7 linked regions of the Cricetulus griseus genome follow. The protein of the gene in region 6 purifies or fractionates together with the protein of the main gene of each other region. This does not show direct contact. Links are inferred from orthologs where the notes say so. Each region holds a gene or a part of one and is shown on either strand. Other genes may lie near its edges.

What was found.
Region 1: the proteins of Exosc10 (region 6) and Exosc7 purify together in Homo sapiens (affinity purification with mass spectrometry; 6 studies listed by BioGRID and IntAct, counting the BioPlex papers as one, with this or other methods). This does not show direct contact. The link is inferred for Cricetulus griseus from reciprocal best matches to the Homo sapiens genes EXOSC10 and EXOSC7.
Region 2: the proteins of Exosc10 (region 6) and Exosc9 purify together in Homo sapiens (co-immunoprecipitation; 7 studies listed by BioGRID and IntAct, with this or other methods). This does not show direct contact. The link is inferred for Cricetulus griseus from reciprocal best matches to the Homo sapiens genes EXOSC10 and EXOSC9.
Region 3: the proteins of Exosc10 (region 6) and Exosc2 fractionate together in Homo sapiens (co-fractionation; 9 studies listed by BioGRID and IntAct, with this or other methods). This does not show direct contact. The link is inferred for Cricetulus griseus from reciprocal best matches to the Homo sapiens genes EXOSC10 and EXOSC2.
Region 4: the proteins of Exosc10 (region 6) and Exosc4 purify together in Homo sapiens (affinity purification with mass spectrometry; 9 studies listed by BioGRID and IntAct, with this or other methods). This does not show direct contact. The link is inferred for Cricetulus griseus from reciprocal best matches to the Homo sapiens genes EXOSC10 and EXOSC4.
Region 5: the proteins of Exosc10 (region 6) and Exosc5 purify together in Homo sapiens (co-immunoprecipitation; 8 studies listed by BioGRID and IntAct, with this or other methods). This does not show direct contact. The link is inferred for Cricetulus griseus from reciprocal best matches to the Homo sapiens genes EXOSC10 and EXOSC5.
Region 7: the proteins of Exosc10 (region 6) and Exosc3 purify together in Homo sapiens (affinity purification with mass spectrometry; 8 studies listed by BioGRID and IntAct, counting the BioPlex papers as one, with this or other methods). This does not show direct contact. The link is inferred for Cricetulus griseus from reciprocal best matches to the Homo sapiens genes EXOSC10 and EXOSC3.

Annotation. Positions count from the first base shown.
Region 1 is NC_048597.1:230,059,014-230,062,513, forward strand, and holds part of Exosc7 (exosome complex component RRP42), read left to right. Parts: intron 1-2,178; coding exon 2,179-2,302; intron 2,303-3,426; coding exon 3,427-3,500. UniProt on the Homo sapiens protein: Non-catalytic component of the RNA exosome complex which has 3'->5' exoribonuclease activity and participates in a multitude of cellular RNA processing and degradation events.
Region 2 is NW_023276806.1:113,111,004-113,115,026, reverse strand, and holds the start of Exosc9 (exosome complex component RRP45), read left to right. Parts: upstream 1-1,223; 5' UTR 1,224-1,317; coding exon 1,318-1,383; intron 1,384-1,679; coding exon 1,680-1,774; intron 1,775-2,376; coding exon 2,377-2,496; intron 2,497-2,590; coding exon 2,591-2,693; intron 2,694-3,203; coding exon 3,204-3,341; intron 3,342-4,023. UniProt on the Homo sapiens protein: Non-catalytic component of the RNA exosome complex which has 3'->5' exoribonuclease activity and participates in a multitude of cellular RNA processing and degradation events.
Region 3 is NC_048599.1:143,396,339-143,399,838, forward strand, and holds part of Exosc2 (exosome complex component RRP4), read left to right. Parts: intron 1-1,921; coding exon 1,922-1,967; intron 1,968-2,084; coding exon 2,085-2,174; intron 2,175-3,197; coding exon 3,198-3,263; intron 3,264-3,500. UniProt on the Homo sapiens protein: Non-catalytic component of the RNA exosome complex which has 3'->5' exoribonuclease activity and participates in a multitude of cellular RNA processing and degradation events.
Region 4 is NC_048595.1:373,626,509-373,630,019, forward strand, and holds Exosc4 (exosome complex component RRP41), read left to right. Parts: upstream 1-1,191; 5' UTR 1,192-1,273; coding exon 1,274-1,444; intron 1,445-2,262; coding exon 2,263-2,469; intron 2,470-2,605; coding exon 2,606-2,965; 3' UTR 2,966-3,011; downstream 3,012-3,511. UniProt on the Homo sapiens protein: Non-catalytic component of the RNA exosome complex which has 3'->5' exoribonuclease activity and participates in a multitude of cellular RNA processing and degradation events.
Region 5 is NC_048602.1:9,460,904-9,464,928, reverse strand, and holds the start of Exosc5 (exosome complex component RRP46), read left to right. Parts: upstream 1-1,225; 5' UTR 1,226-1,273; coding exon 1,274-1,421; intron 1,422-3,938; coding exon 3,939-4,025. Other genes in the region: Bckdha (2-oxoisovalerate dehydrogenase subunit alpha, mitochondrial), read right to left, coding at 635-721. UniProt on the Homo sapiens protein: Non-catalytic component of the RNA exosome complex which has 3'->5' exoribonuclease activity and participates in a multitude of cellular RNA processing and degradation events.
Region 6 is NC_048595.1:7,879,591-7,883,752, forward strand, and holds the start of Exosc10 (exosome component 10), read right to left. Parts: upstream 2,801-4,162; 5' UTR 2,754-2,800; coding exon 2,643-2,753; intron 2,359-2,642; exon of another isoform or gene 2,225-2,358; intron 1,506-2,224; coding exon 1,369-1,505; intron 583-1,368; coding exon 459-582; intron 1-458. UniProt on the Homo sapiens protein: Catalytic component of the RNA exosome complex which has 3'->5' exoribonuclease activity and participates in a multitude of cellular RNA processing and degradation events.
Region 7 is NC_048595.1:98,138,529-98,142,616, reverse strand, and holds the start of Exosc3 (exosome complex component RRP40), read right to left. Parts: upstream 2,801-4,088; 5' UTR 2,792-2,800; coding exon 2,444-2,791; intron 1,888-2,443; coding exon 1,738-1,887; intron 1-1,737. UniProt on the Homo sapiens protein: Non-catalytic component of the RNA exosome complex which has 3'->5' exoribonuclease activity and participates in a multitude of cellular RNA processing and degradation events.

The sequences.
Region 1 (3,500 bases), on a different chromosome or scaffold from region 6:
CAGCCAGGCTTTGTGGAAATGGGAAAGAAGGTTGTCATCAGAAGTGGCTTAGCCTCTGAGATGAGTCTTCTTGGCTAGCTGGTTCGCATGGGTGCCAGGGAGTTGGGGAAGCTGTTTTGCTGTGAGGGAGTCCTGAGAAAATGGATGTCAGCTTGTGAAACCTAGCTACCCAGATCACGAACAGCTATCAGTCTCACTCTCAGGCAGCAAGGAACAGTGACCCCATGATGCCCTTGGATAGAAGATAGAAAGAACTTTGTACATTGAAGTCCTCCAGAAGAGTTGATGCCACTCTGTCTTCCCCAATCCTCTGCCTATGTTGGGCCCAAAGAATTAAGAAATTAAAAGTTCTCTCTCTTTCTCTCTCTCTCTCTCTCTCTCTCTCTCTCTCTCTCTCTCTCTCTCTCTCTCTCTCAGCCACCTTCCTCTTACTCCCCCCCCCCCCGTGTGTGTGTGTGTGTGTGTGTGTGTGTGTGTGTGTGTGTGTGTGTAAATATACAGACGTCTATTTTGGCATATCAGTCCTGTTTCACACTGCTTACTGCCCACTTCAAGGAGGATGTCACACTTAGTACTCTGAGGATGTCACACTGAGCACTCTGAGGATGTCACACTTAGCACTCTGAGGATGTCACACTGAGCACACTAAGGATGTCACAATAAGCACTCTGAAGATGTCACAATGAGCACTCTGAGGATGTCACACTGAGCACTCTGAGGATGTCACACTGAGCACTCTGAGGATGTCACAATGAGCACTCTGAGGATGTCACAATGAGCACTCTGAGGATGTCACAATGAGCACTCTGAGGATGTCACACTTAGAGCACTCTGAGGATGTCACACTTAGAGCACTCTGAGGATGTCACACTTAGAGCACTCTGAGGATGTCACAATGAGCACTCTGAGGATGTCACACTTAGCACTCTGAGGATGTCACAATGAGCACTCTGAGGATGTCACAATGAGCACTCTGAGGATGTCACAATGAGCACTCTGAGGATGTCACACTTAGAGCACTCTGAGGATGTCACACTTAGAGCACTCTGAGGATGTCACACTTAGAGCACTCTGAGGATGTCACAATGAGCACTCTGAGGATGTCACACTTAGCACTCTGAGGATGTCACACTGAGCACACTAAGGATGTCACAATAAGCACTCTGAGGATGTCACAATGAGCACTCTGAGGATGTCACACTTAGCACTCTGAGGATGTCACAATGAGCACTCTGAGGATGTCACAATGAGCACTCTGAGGATGTCACAATGAGCACTCTGAGGATGTCACACTTAGAGCACTCTGAGGATGTCACACTTAGAGCACTCTGAGGATGTCACACTGAGCACTCTGAGGATGTCACAATGAGCACTCTGAGGATGTCACACTGAGCACTCTGAGGATGTCACAATGAGCACTCTGAGGATGTTACAATGAGCACTCTGAGGATGTCACAATGAGCACTCTGAGGATGTCACACTGAGCACTCTGAGGATGTCACACTTAGAGCACTCTGAGGATGTCACACTTAGAGCACTCTGAGGATGTCACACTGAGCACTCTGAGGATGTCACAATGAGCACTCTGAGGATGTCACACTGAGCACTCTGAGGATGTCACAATGAGCACTCTGAGGATGTCACAATGAGCACTCTGAGGATGTCACACTGAGCACTCTGAGGATGTCACGCTTAGCACTCTGAGGATGTCACACTTAGAGCACTCTGAGAATGTCACACTTAGAGCACTCTGAGGATGTCACACTTAGAGCACTCTGAGGATGTCACAATGAGCACTCTGAGGATGTCACACTTAGCACTCTGAGTCCCTGACACAGAAGCTCTAGCCTCAACTTTTGACAGGTAGCGAGGATGTAAACAAGGTGGAGTTAACGAAATTCCTGCTTATAAAAAAAGAATTTCGCTGGGTGTTGGTGGCGCACGCCTTTAATCCCAGCACTCGGGAGGCAGAGGTGGGTGGATCTCTGTGAGTTTGAGGCCAGCCTGGTCTACAGAGCTAGTTCCAGGACAGCCTCCAAAGCTACACAGAGAACCCCTGTCTCGAAAAAACAAAAACAAAAACAAACAAACAAAAAAGAATTTCGGTTCCTGATCTCAAAAAAGGTTATGGTTCCTCCTTCCAGGAGATGGAAATTTCAATCATGCCTCTGTTCCCAGGATACCACGGGTTCGTGTTCTGGAGGATGAAGAGGGGGCAAAGGACATCGAGCTGTCTGACGATCCTTACGACTGTATCCGCTTGAGTGTAGAGAATGTGCCCTGCATCGTCACCCTGTGCAAGGTGTGAGCTTGTCTCTTAGCATTCTTGCCTTCCGTGGGGAGGCGGATCTCTTCCAACCCTAGGCTCTTGAGATTACTTCATAAGCTGAGAGGCTGTAGTTGTGCAAACCCTACAAATGTAGCTTTAACCCACATCTCATCATTCGGTTCCATTAGGTACAGACGAGTCCCAAGGGAAGGCTGCTTCATTAGCAGTCTGGCTGTCATGGTCCCTCTGCAGGCTCTGCACTCTATTGCACTGCTCATTTTCCATTAACTCCCTGTACTCCAGAGTCCAAGGTAGCTGAACACCGGTAGGTTCTCAAACAGTATTCCTCTATGGACCCTGATGTCCACATACAGGAACTGAGGGCTTGGGGCCAGTCCTAGGTGACACATGCCAAGTATAGTTTGCACGGAGCCCAGAGGTTTTCTGACTCTGACATCTGGCATAGCCTCAGGCTTGTGTTGGCTGGGATTGTGACTAATTCCACAAGAGACTCGTTATATAAAAATGAAGCTGAGCCAGGTGCAGTGGCTCATGTCTATAATTCCAGAACTCAGTAGGTGGGGACAGTAGGACTACTGCAAGCTTGAGACCAGCCTAGCCTATATATCAAGTACCTCGTCAGCATAGCTGCACAACAAAGACCTTGTTTCAAAACAAAACAAAACCAAAATCACACATTTCAGTCACTTAATACCACTGGAAGTTTTTTGAGAACTGAGATTGTAAAGAAATGTTCACAGGGCGTTGGGACTAAACAGAGCTCTGGAGGGTGGCATTATTTTGTATGTCCCTTAGCTGGGCTTTCTGGATTCACTGTTGGAGTGAACAAGAAGCCGTGGGGCCTCACATATGCATTTCCTGCCTGTGTTCCCTGTGGGAAAGCCTGGTGGTCTCTGTCCTGGTGGACTCTCTGCCCCCAAACTGCTTGTTGACATTTTGTCTTTTTATTATATTATTCACACAATGGACCATATTAACAATGTTGAACATTCCTTCCAGCATTTTCCAAACAAGCAGAATTTAAAATAAGATCTGGAACGAGCCATGCATGTACAGCCTTTGTAGGCTTGTGTCAGGGGGATCTGGGATCTCTGGTCTACTGTTCACATGTATGTTAAACAGCCCTGATCTTGCAGATTGGCTGCCGGCATGTGGTGGATGCCACACTTCAGGAGGAGGCCTGCTCCTTGGCCAGCTTGCTAGTGTCAGT
Region 2 (4,023 bases), on a different chromosome or scaffold from region 6:
GTCTTTCTGTTCTGTGAACTGAGGGGACAACATGAAAAGCAGCTGGGATAGCTGACGCAGCTGTGCGGTCTGGCGGCCAAGCTGAGACAATGAACGGCAAGGCAGCTGGACAGTTCAAAAGCAGCCTGGACTGGAAGCAAGGCAGCACGGTAAAGGAAGGCCAGAGAGAACAAGACCAGAAACGGCAGGCCTGATAACTGGAACGCGTCAGAGTTAAGTCTTTGGGGCCAAGGTCTCCGACCTGGACCAAGTGCTGTTTGCTCTAAAATGATGTAGAATCCCAGTATCAAGGTCAGCCTGGAAGCCAGTAGCCAGCTAAGAGCTGGGGAAATCACTACTTCCCAGGTCCATGCAAGACTTGTTATGATTTGTAGGGATAGGAGGATCTGTTAGTTCAAGGCCAACCAATGATATTTAGGGACTATCATTTAAAAAAAAAAAAGTAATAACAGGGGACTTGGGCACTGCCGCTCACTGTTGCCCAAGCTGCCAAATACCATCTCTTGATATGGGTAGACCAGGGCACTGGCCAGCAGATGGAGAACACGTTTGCGTTGGCAAAAATAAGCCTGGAGACTTAGAACGACAAACAGGCAGTAAACGAGGTTTCAGTGCACTGGGAGTGAAAGTTACACTTCACTTCTTTTCCTATCCCCAGGCCTCAAGTGAACCACCTTCAGCCTGCTACATCCTCCCAGCCTCCTTAGTCCTCACCATCCGCCCTTCCTAGCATTCTCCAGCAACCGGCCCGCGCCATCCTTCCGGCTTTCTCTGACATAAGTTAGCATCCTCTGCAGACTGTCTCTGCTGTGAAGTGCCGAGAAATCCCAAAATCGAGGCCAGCCTGGAAGCTGGTAGAAGGCCAGAGTCAAGAGCTGGGGAAATCCCTGCTTCCTACCCCCACCCCATAAGTAAGAGTTGTTACAACTTGTAGGGATAGGTGATCTCTGCTGAGTTCCAGGACAGCCAGGGATACGCAGTGAGATTCTGTCTCTCTCTCTCTCTCTCTCTCTCTCTCTCTCTCTCTCTCTCTCTCTCTCTCTCTCTCTCTCTCTCTCTCTCTCTCTCTCTCTCTCTCTTTTTTTTTTTTTTTTAAAGGAACAGGACTATGCTGCAGACGCTAATCTCCTTCCTTTCAGACATCCCTTCGGTAAAATAATCAGCACAGCCCCTCCCCGCTGCAGCGGTCCCCGACCTCTAGCCCCGCCCACACCGCGCTCCGCGCCGGTGCCCGGATGACGTCGATTTTCCTCGCCGGGAAGAAGCTGGCGTGCAGAGTTTTCTCGGTACCTTTCTTCCGCTGCGTGGCCCAACACTATGAAGGAAACGCCGCTCTCCAACTGCGAACGCCGCTTTTTGCTTCGCGCCATTGAGGAAAAGAAGGTGCGAGGCCTCCGTGGCTTTGGGTGTAGATTCGCGTTCCAGCGTGGTGGACTCCTGTGGCCCGTGGATTCATTGTCAGTTTGGCCTGTGGTGTGGTCGTGGTGTGGGCTCGGGTCGTTCCCAGTGTGAACTCTGCCCATTTCCCCAGGTTCAGGTCAATTATTTTATCCTGGCAAGTTCCTTTGAGCTGCAAACCACCAACAATTTGTTAATACCAGGGGTGTTGGGGCCCACGACCAGACAGACACAGTTGCTACTCTTAAAATGTTAAAGGAATAAATGATGTTTGCTTACAGCGGCTGGATGGCAGACAGACCTATGATTACAGGAACATCAGGATCTCATTCGGAACAGATTATGGATGCTGTATTGTAGAACTTGGGAAAACAAGGTAACACGAAACAATTAGAAAATGCCACAGGAGATGTGAAAATTATGTACTGACTCGGTTGTTTAGCGGGCAGCTCAAAAATCCAAGCAGTGATTTTTATCTCTCTTCTTTAATGTAAGCCTTTTTAGTTTTCTGGTCACACTTTTAACCACGAGTGCTTTCTGCTGTATGAGTGTCATAGTTGTGATCTTTATAAATCTTTATAAATCATGTAGGCAGCTGACATCGATCACACAGAATTTGTTACCTGCATGTGTCTGATATTCTAATGTGAGGAGTGTAGATTTTATCATCAATGAGTCTCAGTTTCCCTTTTATTCTTGTGTGATGTAAGAAGTAAGAGATTTCCTTTCTGCTATCCTTTTAGGTATATCAGTTTTTTTTCTGCATGACCCAAACATTTTATTGTGTGTGTGCATATTTGTGTGTGGACGCAGCTTTGCTGGCCCCAGTCTACTACATTCTGTATGTAATTCCTGTCTTTAAGTCACTTTGTGTTGTTACGTAGAATTTATTTTTTTTGTCTGTTTTACATTTCTTCATTTTTTTTAATTGAAAGGGAAGTATGTTTAGTTGACTGCTTTGTACCTTTATTTTTGCAGAGTTCTTGGACAGGTTTCCTGTGAACTTGTTTCTCCAAAACTCAATAGAGCAACAGAAGGTATTCTGTTTTTTAACCTTGAACTTTCTCAGATGGCTGCTCCAGCTTTTGAACCCGGCAGGTATCTCGATTTCTTAAGCTCCTTTAGCCACAGTAAACTGTTGTTAATGCTCAGAGTTGTGGTTCATGACATTAGTTCCTTCTTGTTTCCAAAGGCAGTCCGATCTCCTGGTGAAGCTGAATCGACTCTTGGAAAGGTGTCTAAGAAATTCAAAGTGTATAGATACTGAATCTCTCTGTGTTGTTGCTGGTGAAAAGGTGGGAAATATGTCCCAAACTTTTAACAATGGATACTATTGATTCCGACAAAACATTAGGGAAACTGGAGAGATGGTTCAGTGGTTAAGAGCACTGGTTGCTCTTTCAGAGGATATGGCTTCAGGTCTAGTACTTACATGTCAGATCACAACCATCTGTGACTAGTTTCAGAGAATCTAACACTTGGGGTCTTTGGGGGCACCAGACATGAGTGTGGCACATGTATACAAGCAAATGTACACACATGTAAAATAAAAATGAACATTTTTTAAAAAACACAGGTTTTAAATGTTGGGATGATTCCATTTATTTACATATTGTCATGTTCTCAGATGACTCACATAGAAAAGTTAACTATTAGTATTTCAAATGTTTGTTTTTCTTAAAATTAACTACATTTTTACTGGATAAACTGCATGCTTTAATTTAAAAAAATGTCCAGTGTTACTTTTCCAGTGGCCACTGGTCATGTTCAGGTAGGATTTATTTTTATCTTAAATTCACTTTCAGGTTTGGCAGATCCGTGTAGACCTACATTTATTAAATCATGATGGAAATATTATTGACGCCGCCAGTATTGCTGCAATCGTAGCCTTGTGTCACTTCCGAAGACCGGATGTCTCTGTCCAAGGAGAGGAAGTAACACTGGTAAGCTTCCAGGATTCAAACTGGAATTGTATTTATGAACAAATGGGTATCCTGGATGTGCAGACAGGTAGTTATTAGTGGAAGCATGTGGCAGATGGGAGTTAGATCTGTCCTAGTATTTGTTCATAAGACAAAACCTTCAGATGTTCAAAATTGCTCTAGAAATTTCAAGTTCCCTTACAAAAATGTCTGTCAATAATACCATGACCCAACTTGGTTTTCTGAAATAGAACTGTGACCCTTTCTTTGGATTGACTATTAGAGGCAATGATTAGTTTCTGTTTAGGATTAGCATGAGATACTTACTTTTGAGAGACCAACAGTACCTGAAAAGGAATGAGGTTCACCAGATTTACACGTGTTCTTTAGGCCTTTTGTTCATTAAGCAAGTATATGACAAAAGTTGATCAGAAGTGCCTGGAGGGCTTATTAACAACTTACTGCTAGGCTCTGCTTATAGAGGAGGATAGAGATAGGACCTAAGAACTTATACCTCTAACTCAGAGTGCCCAGACGGTCCCAGTGCTGGTCCAGGGATCATTGTGAGAACCAGTGGTCTGTGCTGTCCTCTTTTTGCCAGGTAGGTCAATTTTGATTTATATATATTACATGTTAGAATAATGAAGTGTACTGTTTGAACCCTGAGTTGCAAAGGGAACCATCAAATGCCCAAGTTTTCATA
Region 3 (3,500 bases), on a different chromosome or scaffold from region 6:
TGTGTGTGTGTGTGTGTGTGTGTGTGTGTGTGTGTGTGTGTGTGTGTGTGTGTGTGTGTGTGTGTGTGTGTGTGTGTGTGTGTGTGTGTGTGTGTGTGTGTGTGTGTGTGTGTGTGTGTGTGTGTGTGTGTGTGTGTGTGTGTGTGTGTGTGTGTGTGTGTGTGTGTGTGTGTGTGTGTGTGTGTGTGTGTGTGTGTGTGTGTGTGTGTGTGTGTGTGTGTGTGTGTGTGTGTGTGTGTGTGTGTGTGTGTGTGTGTGTGTGTGTGTGTGTGTGTGTGTGTGTGTGTGTGTGTGTGTGTGTGTGTGTGTGTGTGTGTGTGTGTGTGTGTGTGTGTGTGTGTGTGTGTGTGTGTGTGTGTGTGTGTGTGTGTGTGTGTGTGTGTGTGTGTGTGTGTGTGTGTGTGTGTGTGTGTGTGTGTGTGTGTGTGTGTGTGTGTGTGTGTGTGTGTGTGTGTGTGTGTGTGTGTGTGTGTGTGTGTGTGTGTGTGTGTGTGTGTGTGTGTGTGTGTGTGTGTGTGTGTGTGTGTGTGTGTGTGTGTGTGTGTGTGTGTGTGTGTGTGTGTGTGTGTGTGTGTGTGTGTGTGTGTGTGTGTGTGTGTGTGTGTGTGTGTGTGTGTGTGTGTGTGTGTGTGTGTGTGTGTGTGTGTGTGTGTGTGTGTGTGTGTGTGTGTGTGTGTGTGTGTGTGTGTGTGTGTGTGTGTGGTGTGTGTGTGTGTGTGTGTGTGTGTGTGTGTGTGTGTGTGTGTGTGTGTGTGTGTGTGTGTGTGTGTGTGTGTGTTGTGTGTGTGTGTGTGTGTGTGTGTGTGTGTGTGTGTGTGTGTGTGTGTGTGTGTGTGTGTGTGTGTGTGTGTGTGTGTGTGTGTGTGTGTGTGTGTGTGTGTGTGTGTGTGTGTGTGTGTGTGTGTGTGTGTGTGTGGTGTGTGTGTGTGTGTGTGTGTGTGTGTGTGTGTGTGTGTGTGTGTGTGTGTGTGTGTGTGTGTGTGTGTGTGTGTGTGTGTGTGTGTGTGTGTGTGTGTGTGTGTGTGTGTGTGTGTGTGTGTGTGTGTGTGTGTGTGTGTGTGTGTGTGTGTGTGTGTGTGTGTGTGTGTGTGTGTGTGTGTGTGTGTGCAAGCACTTACTGACCTGGCATCAATGGGAGAGTGGTTTGCTGTGGAGAAGGGGAAGCCGATGCCGGCAGTCTTTGTTTTGGGTTAGTTACTTTTAGAAGTGTTCACGAGCCATTTGTGTGGCTACTGATACTGGATAGCTTCATGACGCTCTCTCCCAAGAGCCGGGAGTATGGACGAGCCCCTGCCTCTCACCACTAAAACTCGGTGAGCTCACTGTGAGGGAGCTTGAGTAGAAAGAGACCTATTCTAATGCCTGGGCTTTTAGCAAAGAGCACTTCATCCTCAGAATCAGGGTGAGGGACCAGCAAAGTGCCTGAGCCAGGCAGGCATCGAGGAGAGGGCAGCTCGAGCCCCCATGGATGGTAGTGTGTTTCAGTGTCTCCTTCCCTCCATTGCGTGGTGATAAACTTGTCCCACCCCTATTCAGAAGCAAGTACTTTGTGTTTTTGTCACATAATCAAGCAAAGTTAGGACTGCAGTCTAAAGGAATGATTTGCAATGAGTAATTTCTTTTTTTCTTTTTTCTTTTGGTTTTTTCGAGACAAGGTTTCTCTGTGTAGCTTTGGAGCCTATCCTGGCACTCGCTCTGGAGACCAGGCTGCCCTTGAACTCACAGAGATCCGCCTGCCTCTGCCTCCCAAGTGTTGGGATTAAAGGTGTGAGCCACCAATGCCCGGCAGCAGTTTCTTTAAGGAAAACGAATGAAGTATATACACAGGGATTCTGAAGTCCCATCTGTTTACTCAGCCTCAAATAGTGCTTGGTCTGGTCAGCCTGCTGGCTACTGGGTAACCTTCTGCTTTCTCTTGCAGATACAATGGAGAAGTAGGAGACATTGTAGTGGGGAGAATCACGGAGGTAAAGTTGCTGTTTTACAAAGTGAAGGAGGCTGGTGGCTCAGGGATGGGACCTTCATTCTGTGAAATGCTGTATGAAGAAGGTGCCCTGAGATGCTGCCTTACTCTTTCCTTACAGGTTCAACAGAAGAGGTGGAAAGTAGAGACAAATTCCAGGCTGGATTCTGTCTTGCTCCTCTCATCCATGAACCTGCCCGGAGGGGAGCTGGTGAGTGCTTGTCTGCCCTAGAACTGTCCAGTTGAGCTGTGGGGCTTTTGTTCCACCATAGAACTCGGTTTACACTGTTAATGTTTTGTCATGGGGTCTGCTAGCTTGGTGAACATAGGCTTTTTCTCCTGGCTCTGGTCACCTGACATAGGCAGCAACTAGTGTTTGGTAAGACCAGAAACACATGTGGAGTGGGCTCCCAAGATGGAGCTGGGGAGAGGGGCTCCTGAATCTTGGTGCTAATTTCCTTTCTTGGTGGGTTGGCATTCTTGTGGGTTACACAGGGAAGGTGTCTGTGAAATGTTGGCCTTTGCTTTCTTTTCTTTTCTTGAGGGTGGGCAGGAGGTTGGTGTTCAGACGGGGTTTCTCTGTGTAACCCTGGCTGTCCTGGAACTCACTCTGTAGACCAGGCTGGCCTTTAACTCACAGAGATCTGCCTGCCTCTGCCTGTCAAGTGCTGGGATTAAAGTCATGTGCCACTAAGCCCCACTTATCCTTAGTTTTCAGTGACTTGAATGCACATGGTTATTCTAGACAGTGAGCTGGATCCTATGGAGAGTGTCAGAATAAATAAGGCACATCTGAGTCCCTTAAAGAACTTATAGATTGGTGGAGGATAGGAGATAGCTGAACCACATGGGGAGGCAGGAAAAGAAAGAAACATGGAGAGCAGAGAGGGGTTGTTTCATAGGAGGGCCCTTGGGGGTCTGAGAGTTGGAGTGAGGTTGGGACTCAGATGAAGGGAGATACGTGAGCAGACACACAGCCTGGTGGAAGTGAGGGTAAGTGGGGAAACAGGCTCAGTGACCTGTAGAGGGTCTGGATGTTAGCCTAGGAGGGTCCCTCTTGGAGAGCTAGTATCACCTCCCTTGTTCTCCAGCAGTTGAGGTTACCTCTTGTCATAGTTCTTTATGTTAAAATACCATGGTGGGCTACACAGACCTCAAGCAAAAAGCAGGGATGGAAAGAGCTCCTCCTGAAAGTGAGGCTTGTGTCATGTGGTCATTTTTCCGTGTGTTTCAGAGGAGAAGATCTGCAGAGGATGAGCTGGCCATGAGAGGCTTCTTACAGGAAGGAGACCTCATCAGTGTATCCTGACTTACAGGGCTGCCAGCTGACCAGAGGGGTCTGAATTCTGGGTCATATGTCCAGGGCTTGGCTGAAGCTTTGCTCTTTCTCCTTAGCTCAGAACAGTACTCTGGGTTTTGTAACTTGTGACCCATGGTGCAAGCTAGACACAATTGTCTTTCTTTTTAAGGATAGCCCAGGCTGGCTTGGAACTCACTGTGTACCAGGCTAACCTCAAACACAGCACTGCTGTCTCAG
Region 4 (3,511 bases), about 370 Mb from region 6:
ATTATAAGCCCCTGGGACACATGGGGCAGTTAAAGAGGAAGTGGTGGGAATGCAACCTGCTATATATACCCCATAGGTATGAAGGAGACAACAAAAACACAATCCAAGCCGGACGTTGTGGCCCCACCCATAATCACAACACTAGAAAGGCTCTGGTAGGAAGACTGCCAGTTCAAGGCCAACCTGAAATACATTAAACACTCAAAAAAGCAACCACAACAACCTGAGATACACATCCAGATTCCAAAAAGCAACAACAAAGAGACCTCAGGACGATTGGATTTCATATTTTCTGAGTTGAAGCACTCCAAAAAAGGTGAACACTAAAGGATCCTATCTTAAAAAAGAATTAGAACTCCAAAAGCTGCTATACAACCATGCAGCTGCTAGCTGGGCGTTGGTGGCGTAAGCCTTTAATCCCAGCACTCGGGAGGCAGAGGCAGGCGGATCGCTGTGAGTTCAAGGCCAGCCTGGTCTACAGAGCTAGTTCCAGGACAGGTTCCAAAGCTAAACAGAGAAACCCTGTCTCAAAAAAACAAGAAACGAACAGAAATTTCATACAATAAAAATGAAAATATACAACTAAAAAATAAGAAAGACCAGGGCTGGAGAAATGGTTTAAAGGTTAAGATCACTGGTTACTCCTCCTCCTGAGTTCAATTCCCAGCAACCACATGGTGGCACACAACCGTCTATAGAGGGGTCTGATGCCCTCTTCTGGCATAAAGTGCATGCAGACAGAGCACTTGTACATAGAATAAATAAATCTTAAAAAAAAAAAAAGTCGGGCGGTGGTGTCTCACGCCTATAATTCCAGCACTTGGGAGGCAGAGACGGAAGGATCTCTGTGAGTTCGAAACCAGCCTGGTCTACCAGAGCTAGTTCCAGGACAGGCTCCAAAGCTACACAGAGAAACCCTGTCTCGAAAAAAAAAAAAAAAAAAGACCAAAAAAATGTCTCCGCTGGGAAGAGAGTCTCCAACAAACCGAAGACGTCCAGAAGGAGAAGGCCGTCTTCAGTGCCTTCCTCCTTTACCGACCCGGGAGAAGCCGCAAAACGCTCTGCTCGGGCCTTCTGTACTCGGCCAGACCCGTACATTTAGAAAGCCGAGAATGCTGGGAGCTGTAGTTCCATCGGACCGGAAAGGGACTAGTTCTCCGGAAGCTGTAGTTTACCGAGACCGAAAAAGGTACGGACCGCCGGAAGCTATGGGTCGTGGAAGCTGGAGTCCTAAAGCGCTGTGCTCTGGGAGGCGGAGCTGGGGTCGTACAACATGGCCGGACTGGAGCTCCTGTCCGACCAGGGTTACCGGATAGACGGTCGGCGCGCGGGCGAGCTGCGCAAGATCCAAGCGCGTATGGGCGTGTTTGCGCAGGCCGACGGCTCGGCTTATATCGAGCAGGGCAACACCAAGGCGTTGGCGGTGGTCTACGGGCCTCACGAGGCGAGTAAGAGACCGGGCGCGGGTTCCTCCCGCCAGTGGGCCCTCATAGTCTCTGAGGTGCCTCAGCCGGCCTGGCGAAGCTCCACTCACTCCCCCTTTTCTCAGCTCATTATTCTGACTTCTTGGCGGGAAGAAGCTCCCCAGGCCACTGCAACACTATTTGCCTGTCTGCGCTTACTAACTACATCGGTTTTACTGAGTCTTCCGCGTCGCTTCTTTCTCTACTGGAACATAAATTCCCAATACAGGGACTCTCGATGTAATTGTCTACCTTTATTGCTGTGTCTCAGTGCTGTGTCAAGGCCAGCAAAACACGCACATTTTACAGTTTGGTTGGTATATGAGAGTTCAGCTTTCTAGGCGGAAGGCAGGGTGATAGTCGGGTATAGAACACATCAGGGCCGACTATTGGTAGGTAGAGAGGCAGTAGATCAAGTAAAGTTGAGTAGTTACCAAGGGGGTGGACCCAAGACTTTGAAAGTCGGGAAACTGAGACTTTGTTTTACATGTAATGGGGAGCCCCTGGTAGATAGGTAAATTATTAGTGTATAGGTGACACGGACCAGATGTTTGTAAATGTGGTGGCCACAATGGGAATAATTTGGGAGGAAATGGAGCTACTGTAGAACAAAGAGTTGCCTGCCAAAGGTAACTTATGGTTTAGTCTGAAAAGCCTCCCTCCAGCTAGGATTTGATTTGGAAGCCAGGTAGCCGCTGTTTTCTGAAGCACTAGAGGAAGAGGAGGAGAAAGGTTGAGTCCTGTGGGTTGAGTGTGACCCAGGAGGTAGGCCTGACACCTGTGTTCATTTCTCCTCCAGATCCGGGGTTCCAGGTCTCGAGCCTTGCCTGACCGGGCTCTAGTGAACTGTCAGTATAGTTCAGCAACCTTCAGCACTGGTGAGCGCAAGCGAAGGCCTCATGGGGACCGTAAGTCTTGTGAGATGGGGCTGCAACTACGCCAGACCTTTGAGGCAGCCATCCTCACACAGCTGCACCCACGCTCTCAGATTGACATCTATGTGCAGGTGAGCTAGCTGCAGCTTCAAACCCCTCCACCACCAGGAGTGGGTGGGCTCGGGGGTGGGGGTGGGGTGGCTGTATGAGGTGGGCCTGACATGCTGAAGGTTGAGATGTGAGTCTCATGTCCTGATGCCCCTTCAGGTACTGCAGGCAGATGGTGGAACCTATGCAGCATGTGTAAATGCAGCCACGCTGGCAGTGATGGATGCTGGGATACCCATGCGGGACTTTGTATGTGCATGCTCAGCTGGCTTTGTGGATGGCACAGCACTGTCGGACCTCAGCCATGTGGAGGAAGCAGCTGGAGGTCCCCAGCTAGCCCTGGCCCTATTGCCAGCCTCAGGCCAGATTGCACTGCTTGAGATGGATTCAAGGCTGCATGAAGACCACTTGGAGCAGGTTCTAGAGGCTGCTGCCCAAGCAGCCAGAGATGTGCACACTCTGCTGGATCGTGTAGTCCGGCAGCATGTGCAGGAGGCCTCTATCTTACTGGGGGACTGAGTGCCAACCACCCATATCCAAAATAAAGGCCTGTTCCTCTGCTATACACACCTTATTATACAGAGCAGCTCAGAGCCCTGCAAAGCAGAGTATGTAGCAATGCCCCTACCTGTGCTAGGAAGAGCAAGAGTGCTTAAGCCCACCGTGCGTTGGTGGCGCATACCTTTAACCCCAATATTTGGGAGGCAGAGGCAGGCAGATCTCTGTGAGTTCGAGGCCAGCCTGGTCTCCAGAGCAAGGGCCAGGATAGGCTCCAAAGCTACACAGAGAAACCCTGACTTGAAAAAATCGGAAAAAAAAAAAAAAAAAAAAAAGAGTATTTAAGCCCTCACACTAAGGAATATGCCATGTTCATCCAGCCCATCTGGGACCTTTGCACAAGGCTGAGGTAGAACTCAACTGGCTATGCTTGCCTATCATAGAGGTGTAAGGCTAGACTAATGTAGCAGTTCTCAACATGAGAGTCTCAACCCTTTGGGGGACAAATATCAGATATCCTGCATTTCAGATATTTACATTAAACTTCATAACAGCAAAACTATGTTT
Region 5 (4,025 bases), on a different chromosome or scaffold from region 6:
CTGGTGTGCAGAGATACATGGAAGCAGAATATTGTATACATAATAAATAAATAAAATCTTTTAAAAAAAATATGGGCTGGAGAGAGATGGCTCAGAGGTGAAGAGCACCGACTGCTCTTCCAGAGGCCCGAGTTCAGTTCCCAGCAACCACATGGTGGCTCACAGCCATCCGTAATGAGATCTGGTGCCCTCTTCTGGCAACAGGCATATGTGGAGGCAGAATGCTGTATATATAATAAATAAAATCTACAAAAAAAGGAATAATTTTTAAAAAACAACGTTGACAAAGGGTCCTGTGTGGATTTCTCCCTTCATGACATCAACCAACATACCCCGATGGCCTGTGACAGTGATCGCGCCCGGGCCCCCGCCTTCGCTTCTGATCGGGGACCGCAGGGGTCCAATCAGCTTCTTGCTCACCCAGCTTCACAAGTGGAGTTTTAAGTAACGGAATAAAGAAACGTGGGGCTGATCCTGGCCCACCCCACCCCCGGTTTTCTCCCTCTTCCCCTGACTCTTCTCTCCAAGGAGCGTCCGCGTCCTTTTCTTTCCTTCACGACCCGCACACACCGTAAGAGCAACCTCTGCGTCCGCAGCCACCTCGGGAGGGACCCCGTGGGGCCCAGGTACTTACGGATCTAGCCAAGCCCCGCGCCCCAGGCCGCCGCAGCGACAGGAGAGCAGCCAGGCCCCGGCTCTGTCTCCACATCGCCGCCGCCATCTCGCTCGATAGCCACGCCTCCTCTCTCCCCAGCTGGACCCGGGGCTGCCCCACCAGATGCCGTCCTCAAATGCCGGCACGGTCGGGCCAACAAGCGACTTCACTCCCACCGCCGTGAGTCCAAGACACGAACCTAAGTGCGCGTGCCGATTCTGATTATCCTCCGCCGTGGCTCTAGCCTTCCGCTTATAGCGGCTCCGATATCAGGCAGGAAAGGGACACCCTGACCACAGGCTCACGGGTTGAGGGCCGGGGGGCCTTGGGCGAGGTGGGCCTATTCCAAGACCCGCCCCCTCTCCTTTCTGGCCCAATGGCTTTGCGAGAATCGGGAGGCGGAGGCGGGGCGGGACCAGATTGTTAGTAAACGCTCAGCCACGTGCCAGGGACGAGTCAGGCGCCGCCCAGGCTGGCGCATGCGCAGCGGCCACGCAGCCGCTGCGAGCCGGGCCCGCGAGCCGGCGAGCCCGCGAGCGAGCGAGCGAGCCAGCGCGCGCGTGCGCACCACGGGGGCGGAAGCTACGGCCGCAGGCGGGGCGCGCGTGCTCGGCGGCGATGGAGATCGCGAAGCGTGCGGACGCCGAGCTGGGCGCTGGCACCGCCGCGGAGCCCGGCCCGCGGAGTCCCGGCTGCAGCCTCCGGCATTTCGCCTGCGAACAGAACCTGCTGTCCCGGCCGGATGGATCTGCTTCTTTCCTGCAAGGTAAAAAGAGCCTGATCCCCAGCCCCACTGTGGGGGGCTTGGGTTTCTTGGTTTTTGGGATTTTGGGGGGGACAGGGTTTCTCTGTGTAGCTTTGGAGCCTATCCTGGCACTCGCTCTGGAGACCAGGCTGGCCTCGAACTCACAGAGATCCGCCTGCCTCTGCCTCCCGAGTGCTGGGATTAAAGGCGAGCGCCACCAACGCCTGGTGGGGTTTGTTTTCTTTTCTTTTTTTTTTTTTTTTTTTGGAAGAGCGGTTACCGTGTAGTGTGCAACCGAGTGCGCCCATCTCTTTGAAAAGAAACGAAAAAACTATTTCTAGATACGTAGGAGGGGTCCACACCTCTTCCCCGACTCGAAAAAACAACCAAAAAAATATTTGATACGTCCAGCCTGGAAGGAATCAGGGGCAAGAGCACGCCCTAGGAAGAGTGGATATTCCAGAACAGGTGTAATTTCACCAAGGCGAATAGGCCCCTTGACTAGATTTCCTTCCACACACTTCTCCTGGATCGGTACACCTCCGGTTGAGGCTAAGGTGTTCGTTTGCATGCATTCCCTTTGAGAAGGACTTGTCATCGCCGCTGGGTCAAGTGCGGTGACAGCAGCAGATGACTTGGTCCACGCGAATGCCCTTCACATTGAACGTGATGATCCCCATTCTGGACCCACAGGTATCTCCCCTTCTCCCATCCCATCATTTGAGTAAATGTGTCTGTTGCTTGGTGTATTCATCTCATCAGTGTAAGTGATTGTAGAGAGAAAAGAGGCGTCTCACGACTGACACCCACACAACCCTGCCTCCACCCAATGCCGGTCAGCCAGCTTTGAGAGGTCGTGGGAGTGTGAGGAGCTATCAAAAGTAGACAGATTGGGCCGGGCGTTGGTGCCGCACACCTTTAAATACCAGCACTTGGGAGGCAGAGGCAGAGGCAGGCGGATCTCTGTGAGTTCTAGGCCAGCCTGGTCTCCAGAGCGAGTTCCAGGACAGCCTCCAAAGCTACACAGAGAAACCCTGTCTCGAAAAACCAAAAAAAAAAAAAAAAGATGCCCCAGCAGACTACCCTACAGGCCAGTCTGATGGAGGCAGTTCCTCAGTTGAGATTCCCACCTTTCAGATCTGTCTAACTTGTGCTGAGTTGACAAAACTAGCCAGCGTAGTATCTTCACTTAAAAACAGGATTCATAAAAATGGGGTACGTTCCCCAGGGAGGTAGAGGCAAGGCCAGGTTCACTCAGCTACATAGCAGGTTCAAGGCCAGCTTAGACTGTCTAGGGCCTGATCCCAGAAAATCCAACAGTGAAAACCTACAGAGCCCATGAGCCTGTCACCTGCCTTTGTTGGCTAGCCATCTTGTTTTTTTGTTTTGTTTTTCCCTTTGGACTTTGCACATGCTAGCATCCCTAACCCCTTGGGTTTTGTTGTTTTGTTTTTGTTTGTTTGTTTGTTTTATGGCTCTCCCTGGTGCCTGAGGAGGTCGGAAGAGTATGTTGGGTCCCCTGGAACTGTGGTTACAAACCTTTGTGAATCGTCTTCTACAAGAGCGACAAGTGCTCTTAATTGCTGAGCCATCTCTCCAGCCCACCTGTGATTCACTTATACACATGCATTTACCAGTTTGGAGTTGTGGTATAGAGTGTATTGGTCATTGGGCATTACGGTCAAAATCATGTGGAAACCACTGTTTGAGTGCAGTGTCTTCACTTTGTAGATGGCTTCTCTGTAGCCCACAGAGGTTATCAAAATCACACAAGGGCCTGGAATAGGCAATCAGGGCTAGAAGCCAGGCTTTTTTTCCTCCAGACCCATTTATGCCATTCTGGGAAAATGAGCAGAGATTAAGATCCCTACCCAACGCAACTACAGACCCTTTTTTGTTTGTTTTTTGTAAGGCCTTTTAAAATATTTTTAATAGTATATATTAATTATATGTAACAATGGATTTCTTTTTGGTTGGTTTATGAGATAGTCTTGTGTAGTTCAGGGTGGCCTCGAACTCAGTATGGAGCCAAGGATGACCTTGAATTCCTGACCCTCCCGTCTCTGCCTCCCAGACACTGGGAGGATATACGTGTGTGTGCCTGTGTGTACGGGTGCCCAAGAAGGGCAGAAGAGGGTGTCCATACCTTGGAGCTGAGTTACAAGGTGATTATGAGCAGCCTGCGGGTGCCGGGAACTGCATTCTAGGCTTCTGGAAGAGCAGTGTGGGTGCCGACCTGCTGAGCTATCTCTCCAGCCCCAACTGCTTCTAAAAACTCACCAGTAGCTGAAGTCTGGGCTGGGCTCTGGACTCACTGGCCAGCATCCTGTGTTTCAAGTATCTGTATCTTTTTAAAATGGGTATTTATTTGATCTTGTTGTGTGACACTGAGAGACTGGGCTTACTGCTTCTGTGAGCCACTGTCATGTGATCTTGACAAAAGTGCCTCGAGGGAAGGACTGCAGTAGTCTCCAGTTACAGATGAGAAGGCAGAGAAGAGAGTTGGTGTGGCAGAGGCCTCTGCTGATGTCTCCCCAGGTGACACCTCTGTCCTGGCTGGAGTGTACGGGCCAGCCGAGGTGAAGGTCAGCAAAGAAATCTTCAACAAGGCCACACTCGAAGTGA
Region 6 (4,162 bases):
CAGCCAGTGCTCTGAATGTTGGAGCCATCTATCTCTCCAGAGCTGAAAAAATTTTAAGTTTTTGAAAAGCATGGATGGGGGCTGGCTCTTGCAGAGGATTGGAGTTCTACCCTCAACACCTATGTCAGATGGCTCACAACTGTCTGTAACTCCAGCTGCAGTGGACCCCAAGACCTCTGGCCTCCAGGTACACATACCCATAAACATAATTAACAACAACAACAACAACATATTTGACATTTGAGACAGGGTCTTACTAAGCAGAACAGGCTAGCCTGGAACTCACAAAGATCCACCCATCTTTGCTTCCCTAGTGCTGCGATTATAGGCATGGCCACCAGGCCTGGCTAAACTTACTTCCTTTCCATTTTCTACAATGCTGGGGTTTCTCCTTGCATTTTAATATGTGAGCTTATTTCTGTTAGTTGACTTATGTGGACGGACAGAGAAACACTCACCACTCTCTCCAGAATCACATCGTTGGTATCAACGAGTAAATCGAACTTGTCCTCCAATTCGGTCACTTTACTTCGATCTTTGATGTTGCTGCGACACCCGTGGTACTGCATTACCCTACTCATGCTAAAGAAGGAAAGCCAGGGTCAGCCCGAGCGCCTGTACGCTACCAATCTACACTCTGGGGAACAACCAGACATTCTCACAGCAACCTTTAAGAGACACGACTCAAAGCTGGGTCTGGGGGTTTATGCCTTCGATACTGGCTTCTTGGAAGGCTTGAACACTCAGGGCCTGGGCCACACACTGAGTCTGGAGCCAACTTGGGCAATTTAATGTGATCTCTCCCAACAATTAATAGATGACAAAAGTGTAGCTTTGGCCCTCCTACTTGCTCTATAGACCAGGCTGGCCTTGAACTCAGGAGATCCACCGGTCTCTGCCTTTCAAGTGATGGTACCAAAGGAATGCACCTTCACTGCTCCGCTGATTTATTTTTAATAATCATAGATCATACTAGGTGTCACATTTTTAATTTTAGCACCCAGGAAGCAGAGGAAAAGGTGATCTTTAAGAATCCAAGCCTAGCTTGGTATACGCAGCAAGTTCCAGGCCAACCAGGGTTCCATACATAGTGACCTGCTGCTGTTCTCCCTCAGCAACCACAGGCCATGGCAATATCCTTCCTTAAACCATCCTTGTTATTGGCATTCAGCAAGTACTTTCTTTTGTTGGTTGGTGTTGGGGTTCAGACCCAGGGACCCCCTACCACTGAGGTATAGAAGTAAGGAAAAACAATCTCTCTATTCATTTCCCTCAGTTAACATAATAAACAATGTACACTTCTTACCACTGGATGATCTCAGTTAACATAGTAAACAATGTATATAGTAAACAATGTATACTTCTTACCACTGGAGCAACCTGTCTCCTTGTGTTTCACAAAATGCCTGGAAGGCCGGAAAACTCCGGTAAAAGTCATACTCGTCACCAAACTGTGGCAGGCCCCCAGACGCCTTGGTAACTGCCACCACTGACCCGAGTGCAAACTGAAAAATCCAGAGAAAAAGACATACTTTAAGCTTGTATTTCTATTCATTCAGAAAGAAAAAAAAAAGATTTAGAATATATATACACCAGGGAGCTGGAGAGAGGGCTCAGGGTTGAGAGTGCTTAGCACCTGCTGCTCTTACATAAGACCTGGGTTTGGTTCCCAGCACCCACAGGGCTGCTCGCAACCATCTGCATCTCCAGATGCAGGAGATGCAGCGCCCTCTTTTGGCCTCTGTGGGTATCAGCAGATATTCAGCATGCTCGGGCCCTCCCTCCCTCCCTCCCTCCCCTCCCTCCCACACTAAAATAAAAACAAATAGGCATGGGACACATCTGCTGATGCGGTGCTGGGGACCCAGCCCTGTCTGCACCACCAAGTCCCGGCGCAGACTTGGGCGCCTTCTACAATTTACAGTATTTTGTGGTTTTGATGCACATCCATCAAGAAAACATAATTACTTCAGAGGACCCCTTTGTAAGCAGTGATCTAGGGCCTGTTGTGAGGTAACGGGAAACAGTCTGAAGCGGCTGTCATCAATAAAGGACGAGTGCTCTTTACTCCCAGCACTCGGGAGGCAGAGGCAGGCGGATCTCTGTGAGTTCGAGGCCAGCCTGGTCTCCAGAGCGAGTGCCAGGAAAGGCTCCAAAGCCACGCAGGGAAACCCTGTCTCGAAACACCAAACAACAACAACAAAAAGGACGAGTGCTCGCTCACGTTCAGGTGTCGTGACAGACAGCATCGTGAATTTTGTGAACACAGAATTTGCAGGAGGTGCTGGTGAGCGCATGCGCTGTGGCACTCGGGGCCGCGATGGCAAGAGTGACAGACAGGGACGCTCAGCCCAGAGACGGGCGCGGACGGCTGTGCGCGGCGGGAGGGCCCAGCGGGGCGGCTGCAGAGCCGGGGCGGGGGGGGGCGCCACGTGGCCGGCGAGGACGCCCGCTGAGGGCGCGGCTGGCGGGCTCGGCGGGGCTGAAGCTCGCGCGCCCACACCGGAAGCGCCGCGCCCCGGGCTCCCGCTCCTCCGCCGCCGCAGCTGTTCCCGCGGCGCTGTGAAGCCGCCGTGCCGAGCGCCGGACCCGCTTCCGGCCAGAACGGGGGCCCCCGCGGTGCCCAGGGCCCGCGTACTCACTTTCACGAAGCTGTCTGCGTCGGGGAACCCAGGCAGCACCATGTCCTCGTCAGGCTTGGCCGCGCTGGTCGCCGGCGCGGAATGATGCTCCCGGGGGCTGGGAGGCGCCATCTTTCCGTCCTAGGGCGGCTCTTCTCGCGAGACTTCCGGCAGACGGGGCGAGCCCAGCGCGCGTGCGCACAGGTGCCCCCCCTCCTGGCTTGTAGCTGCTGACCGGGCTTGGCTCACAATAGGGAGGTTTAGACTTTTGATTTCACGCTGGTAGCATCCTAACAAACCAGTGGGCTATGGTGTGACCTGGAGGATACAGTTTGTTTGTTTGTCTTCGGTTTTTCGGGACAGGGTTTCTCTGTGTAGCTCTGGAGCCTGTCCTGGAACTCACTCTGTAGACCAGGCTGGCCTTGAACTCAGAGATCCACCTGCCTCTGCCTCTGCCTCGCGAGTGCTGGGATCAAAGGTGTGCGCCACCAATGCCCGGCTACAGTTTTTTTTTTTTTTAAGATTTATTTATTATGTATGCAGTGTTCTGTCTGCATGTATCTCTGCAGGTCAGAGAGGGCACCAGATCTCATTACAGATGGTTGTGAGCCACCATGTGGTTGCTGGGAATTGAACTCAGGACCTCTGGAACAGCAGGCAGTGCTCCTAACCACTGAAGCCATCTCCCCAGGCTACAATTTTAATCACAGTTAAAGTTGGCTCTTCCCTGCCTGCCTCAGCTTCCCGAGTCCAGGTGTGCATAACCACACTTGTACTGGATGTTTAAAGTTTAAGAATAAAACTGGGCTGGGCATTGGTGGCGCATGCCTTTAATCCCAGCACTCAAGAGGCAGAGGCAGGAGGATCTCTGTGAGTTCAAGGCCAGCCTGGTCTACAGAGCAAGTTTTAGGACAGCCTCCAAAACAATCCAGAGAAACCCTGTCTTGAAAAACAAAAAACCACAACTGAGTGTGGAGGAGAGAGGTATCTCAGCAGTGATAAACACTTTTTTTTTTCTCTAGAGGACCACAGCACCCAGTCCTGAGGGGTTCATAACCACCTGCAACTCAAACTCTGAGGGAGCAGATGACCTCATGTGGTGGGCACGGGCACACACGATATACAGACACAGACATAGAATGTACCTCTACATGACACAGGGTTTCTCTGTGTAGCCCTGGCTGTCCTGGAACTCAAGAGATCCACACCTGCCTCTGATTCCCTGTCTTAGTCCCTCTAGAGCTGGGATGTAATGGTGTATGCTCGTGCCTGACCCTTCTCTCTGTGTGTGATGCCGGGAACCAAACCCTGGGCCAGTGCCTGTTAGCTAGTGGCCTACCACAGAGTTGTATCCCCAGCCCAGTGACAGGGTTTACAAAATAATTATTAATAAAAAGCCAGTCATATACATACATTTTAAAATTCTGATGTCATTTATTGGCACAGAAAGTACTCAGATATAACATGGTGTCTAGACGTGTTTTCACTTTATACTTTGTTTATTTAGTTGGATATTTACTTTGTTCATAATTCCCGACCTG
Region 7 (4,088 bases), about 90 Mb from region 6:
TATAAGACAGAAAAGCAGAAAAGTTCCCTTCATCCAGAAATCCTTTTTTTTTTTTTTTTTTTTTTGGTTTTTTGAGACAGGGTTTCTCTGTGGCTTTGGAGGCTGTCCTGGAACTAGATCTTGTAGACCAGGCTGGTCTCGAACTCAGAGATCTGCCTGCTGCTGCCTCCCAAGTGCTGGGATAAAAGGTGTGCACCAGTACCATCCAGCTCTAGATTTAAAATGTTACAAAACTGAACTTTAAAATGATGAAGCTGAGGAAACAGAATGAATTTCAACATTAAAAATCCCCACTGTTGAGAGCTGGAGAGATGGCTCACGGGTTAAGAGTACTTGATGCTCTTGCAAAGGACCCAGGTTTGGTTCCTAGCACCCTCCTAGCAACTCACAACCATTCATAACTTAAGTTTCAGGGGACCCGACCTTCCTGCCTGACCTCCACAAGCATCAGTCATATAGAGGGCAAATACATACATAGAGCCAAAACACCCTCGATATGCATACATTAATAATATTTAAGTACCCACCATTTTGGGTGACTACAAAACTTAGAGGGAATGAATCATAAGACACTTTATGCCTTTCAAGAACATGTGATCTTCTACAGGGCAACAAGAATGAATAAACTCATGACAAGTTCAAGAATAAATCCAGTACCATGGTAAAGATACAGGAAAAGTGATGATGATGAATGACTTTACATAGTCGTGCTTAGCCTGGATCTCAATGGATGGATGTCTGTCTCATAGGCTGAGAGACTGCAATCCAGACAGAAGAGCACCATTACTAAAGACCCAAAGGAACCAAGTTCAGTGGTGTTGTGAAACTTAAGCATATTAGCATGAAGTGCTAATATGAGGGAAGACCCCTGGGGCACAATGCCAATGAATTCTCTATGATTTGAACATTTTTTTTCCTGTTAAGAAATGGAATATGGGAGCTGGAGAGATAGCTCAGTGGTTAAGAGCACTGGTTGCTCTTCTAGAGGACCTGGGTTCAATTCCCAGCAACCACATAGTGGCTCAAAACCATCTATAGTGGGATCTGATGCTGTGTTCTGGCATAAAGTCAATAGAGCATTCACATATACTTAAATCTTTTTTTAAAAAAATCCACACATATAAAACCTTTAAAAAGGGAATGTCAACATGAGGATATTAACAGATGGAAGCTGGAATGTTAATGAGATTGCTGCCCAGTTTTGTCAAAAATGAGCAAATGCTTGAACTCATAGACACAAAGGGATAAGGCATGCAAAAGACAAGAGATGGAACAAATAAGATCAAATGACTCAAGACCTGTGAGAGTTGAAAGAAAAGTAGCACAGATGCCATCAAATTTCTGGCTCACATGTATCCTCAGGAAGGATACAGCTAAACCAACCAGAAATCCTGTAGTAACAAGATCACTCTTCTGTCAGCTCCAAGGATTCAGAGCCAAGATGAAGAGATAGATGACTGACAGTACCAGTGTCCCTTAGACTAGGGACACTTTCCTTGTGATATGGATATGAACCTCACAGGTAACAAGGGGAAGCAAACATAACCCTTCAACCTGGGAGAGAAGAACCAAGAACACAGCACTGGTTCTGGAGCTGCAGCGCCTAAGGAACTATCTTGGAGAATCTGAAGGATAGTTTATGCTTTGGAGACAAATCAGGAAGTCCTCTGGGCAGCTAAATTTCTGGGGAGTGGCTATTTTTGCCTTATTGTTGAAACCAAAGGCTCCCATCATTACCTGCACATTCGGTCTGTTTCTTTTAGTTGCTCCTTCAAATGCCAGGTAAGACAAAGAAGCTGGCTCACTCCCTCCAACATCAACTTTGAATATATCTCCAGATTTAGCAATCACTATGCCAATCACGTGGTCTCCTTTCACGGGTACGTACTGCAAAACATAATGAAAGAACAACCATAAAAGACTACTGTAACATATATGCAGTAAGTTTTAGCAAGGTTGCTCAGGATGGGTCTCAAACAATCCTCCCAACTCATATTCCTCAGGTAGCTGGGACTACAAAACCGGGCCGCACCAATCCAACTTTGTTGTCTCTAATCCGTAGTTGACCTGAGTCAGGTTTCATACTTCAGCATCTTTTATACATCCGGCGGCACAAGAATCCTTACAGTCAAGGAAACCCACCCATTAGACACTTCTACATGAAAGCTCTTACTCTACGAATAATTTAACTCCCTGTTATTTAGACTCACTGAAACTGGGACTCCACATGGCACGCCTGCGGCTTCCTACTTTCTAGCCCCTTTCTCCTTTCTCCCTTCTCAAGCTGTGTTTCTACTGTGGTTCCTCTAAAGAAGATGCAGAGGGGACCTAGAAGCCACCGCGGCTCTAGGCTGAGCTCATCCTCTCCTCCCCGCTGCAGGGAGTCTTCCCAGAACTGGGATTCCACTATCGCAGCAGCACGGCCTCTCCAACGTCCGCTCACCCGCTTCTGTTGAGAATCCACCCAGTAAACGCCACCGCCGCCTCCTCCGGGCTCCTTGTGGCGCAGGCGGCCACACTTGGTGACCAGCAGGCGGTCCCCGCAGCGTCGTAAACCCGGGCCACACACGACGCGCAGCCGCGGGCGCGCCCCCGAATTCAGACGTAAAGGCTGCTCCCCGGCGCCGCCAAGGCCGTCTACGTCCTCGTGCTCCGGCAGCACCAGCTCCTCCCCAGGGAGAACCACCTGATTCAGCACGTTGTGCGCTACCCGCGCCCGGCAGCCGGCCACCGATTCTTTCCCAACCGACAGTACTTCAGCCATAGCAGGAGTCGTCGCAGCTTCCGGCATTTTACTTCCGCTTCCGCATCCAAGAGCCCGCCCTCCAGGGTTATCCCTTTCCGGTTTTTGTGGGCTTTCTGAAATAGACTTCAGACCGCCAACCAGTCACATCCTCTCTTCGGTACCCCCTCCTCCCCACCCCCAAACACCCGTATCTGAGCTATCAGCCCACCCACCCTGTGGTTTCTCCGCGGGTGGGTGAAAGAGACGCCCAGCTGGAGTTCATTTGGAGCCCTCACATCCCGTGTCAGGTCTTTCGGCTTAGTCTCTACGGGTGCTGGAACTAAGGGCCCCTGGGTATTGGGTTTGGAGGCTTTACTTTCCATTCAGCCTACAGAAAGGTGGCTGAAATTTTAACTGGGAAAAAAGGGTTTGCAAAGTATGACTTGTTTGGACGTTGCTACCAATTTAAATTCTGTAAAATATAAAGAATGGGAGAACAACAATAGGGGCTGGAGAGATGACTTCATGGTTTAGGAGCACTGGCTGTTCTTCCACAGGACCCAGCACCCACAAGGCAGCTCACAGCTGCCTGTAACCCCAGTTCCAGGGGATCTAACACCCTCACACCGATACACATGCAGACAAAATACCAATGCATATGAAATAAAAATCAATTATTAAAAAGAAAGAACAACGGAAGTCTTACTCATTTGTCTCCTTTGCTGTGTTTTCAGCTGTAGTTCCTATCATTTGTACATAATAGATGTAACACTTATGTGTATTACACTCTAGGGCTCCCCCCCCGCCACCCCCACTCCACCCCCGCGCGCAACACATATCACACCTTTTCACCTACTTGAGTTATCTCTACATGGCTTAGGAAAATCAGTAACTCAGAACAATTCTTGCCCCTATTTCTTTTGGAGCACACCAATTGAAGGAAAGCCCGAATGGGGGGGCAGGGGGCTCTCTCCTGGACCGGATTAGAAGCACACACTCCTCAAACACCTATTTCACAGAGAGATCCTTTATTAATCAGGGAAGAAAAATTAAAGTGGCTGCTTTCTGACTCGGGCAGAAAAACAGCAAGTAACTTTGAAGGTGTAGTTTTTAAAAAAAAAAAAAAAAAAAGATTTTATCTATTATGTATACAACATTCTGCTTCCATGTATATCTGCACACCAGAAGAGGGCACCAGATCTCATAACGGATGGTTGTGAGCCACCATGTGGTTGCTGGGAATTGAACTCAGGACCTCTGGAAGAACAGTCAGTACTCTTAACCTCTGAGCCATCTCTCCAGCCTGAAGGTGTAGTTTTTAAGAAGGGAAAAAAGAGGTCTGCATCAAAATAGACTAGGATGC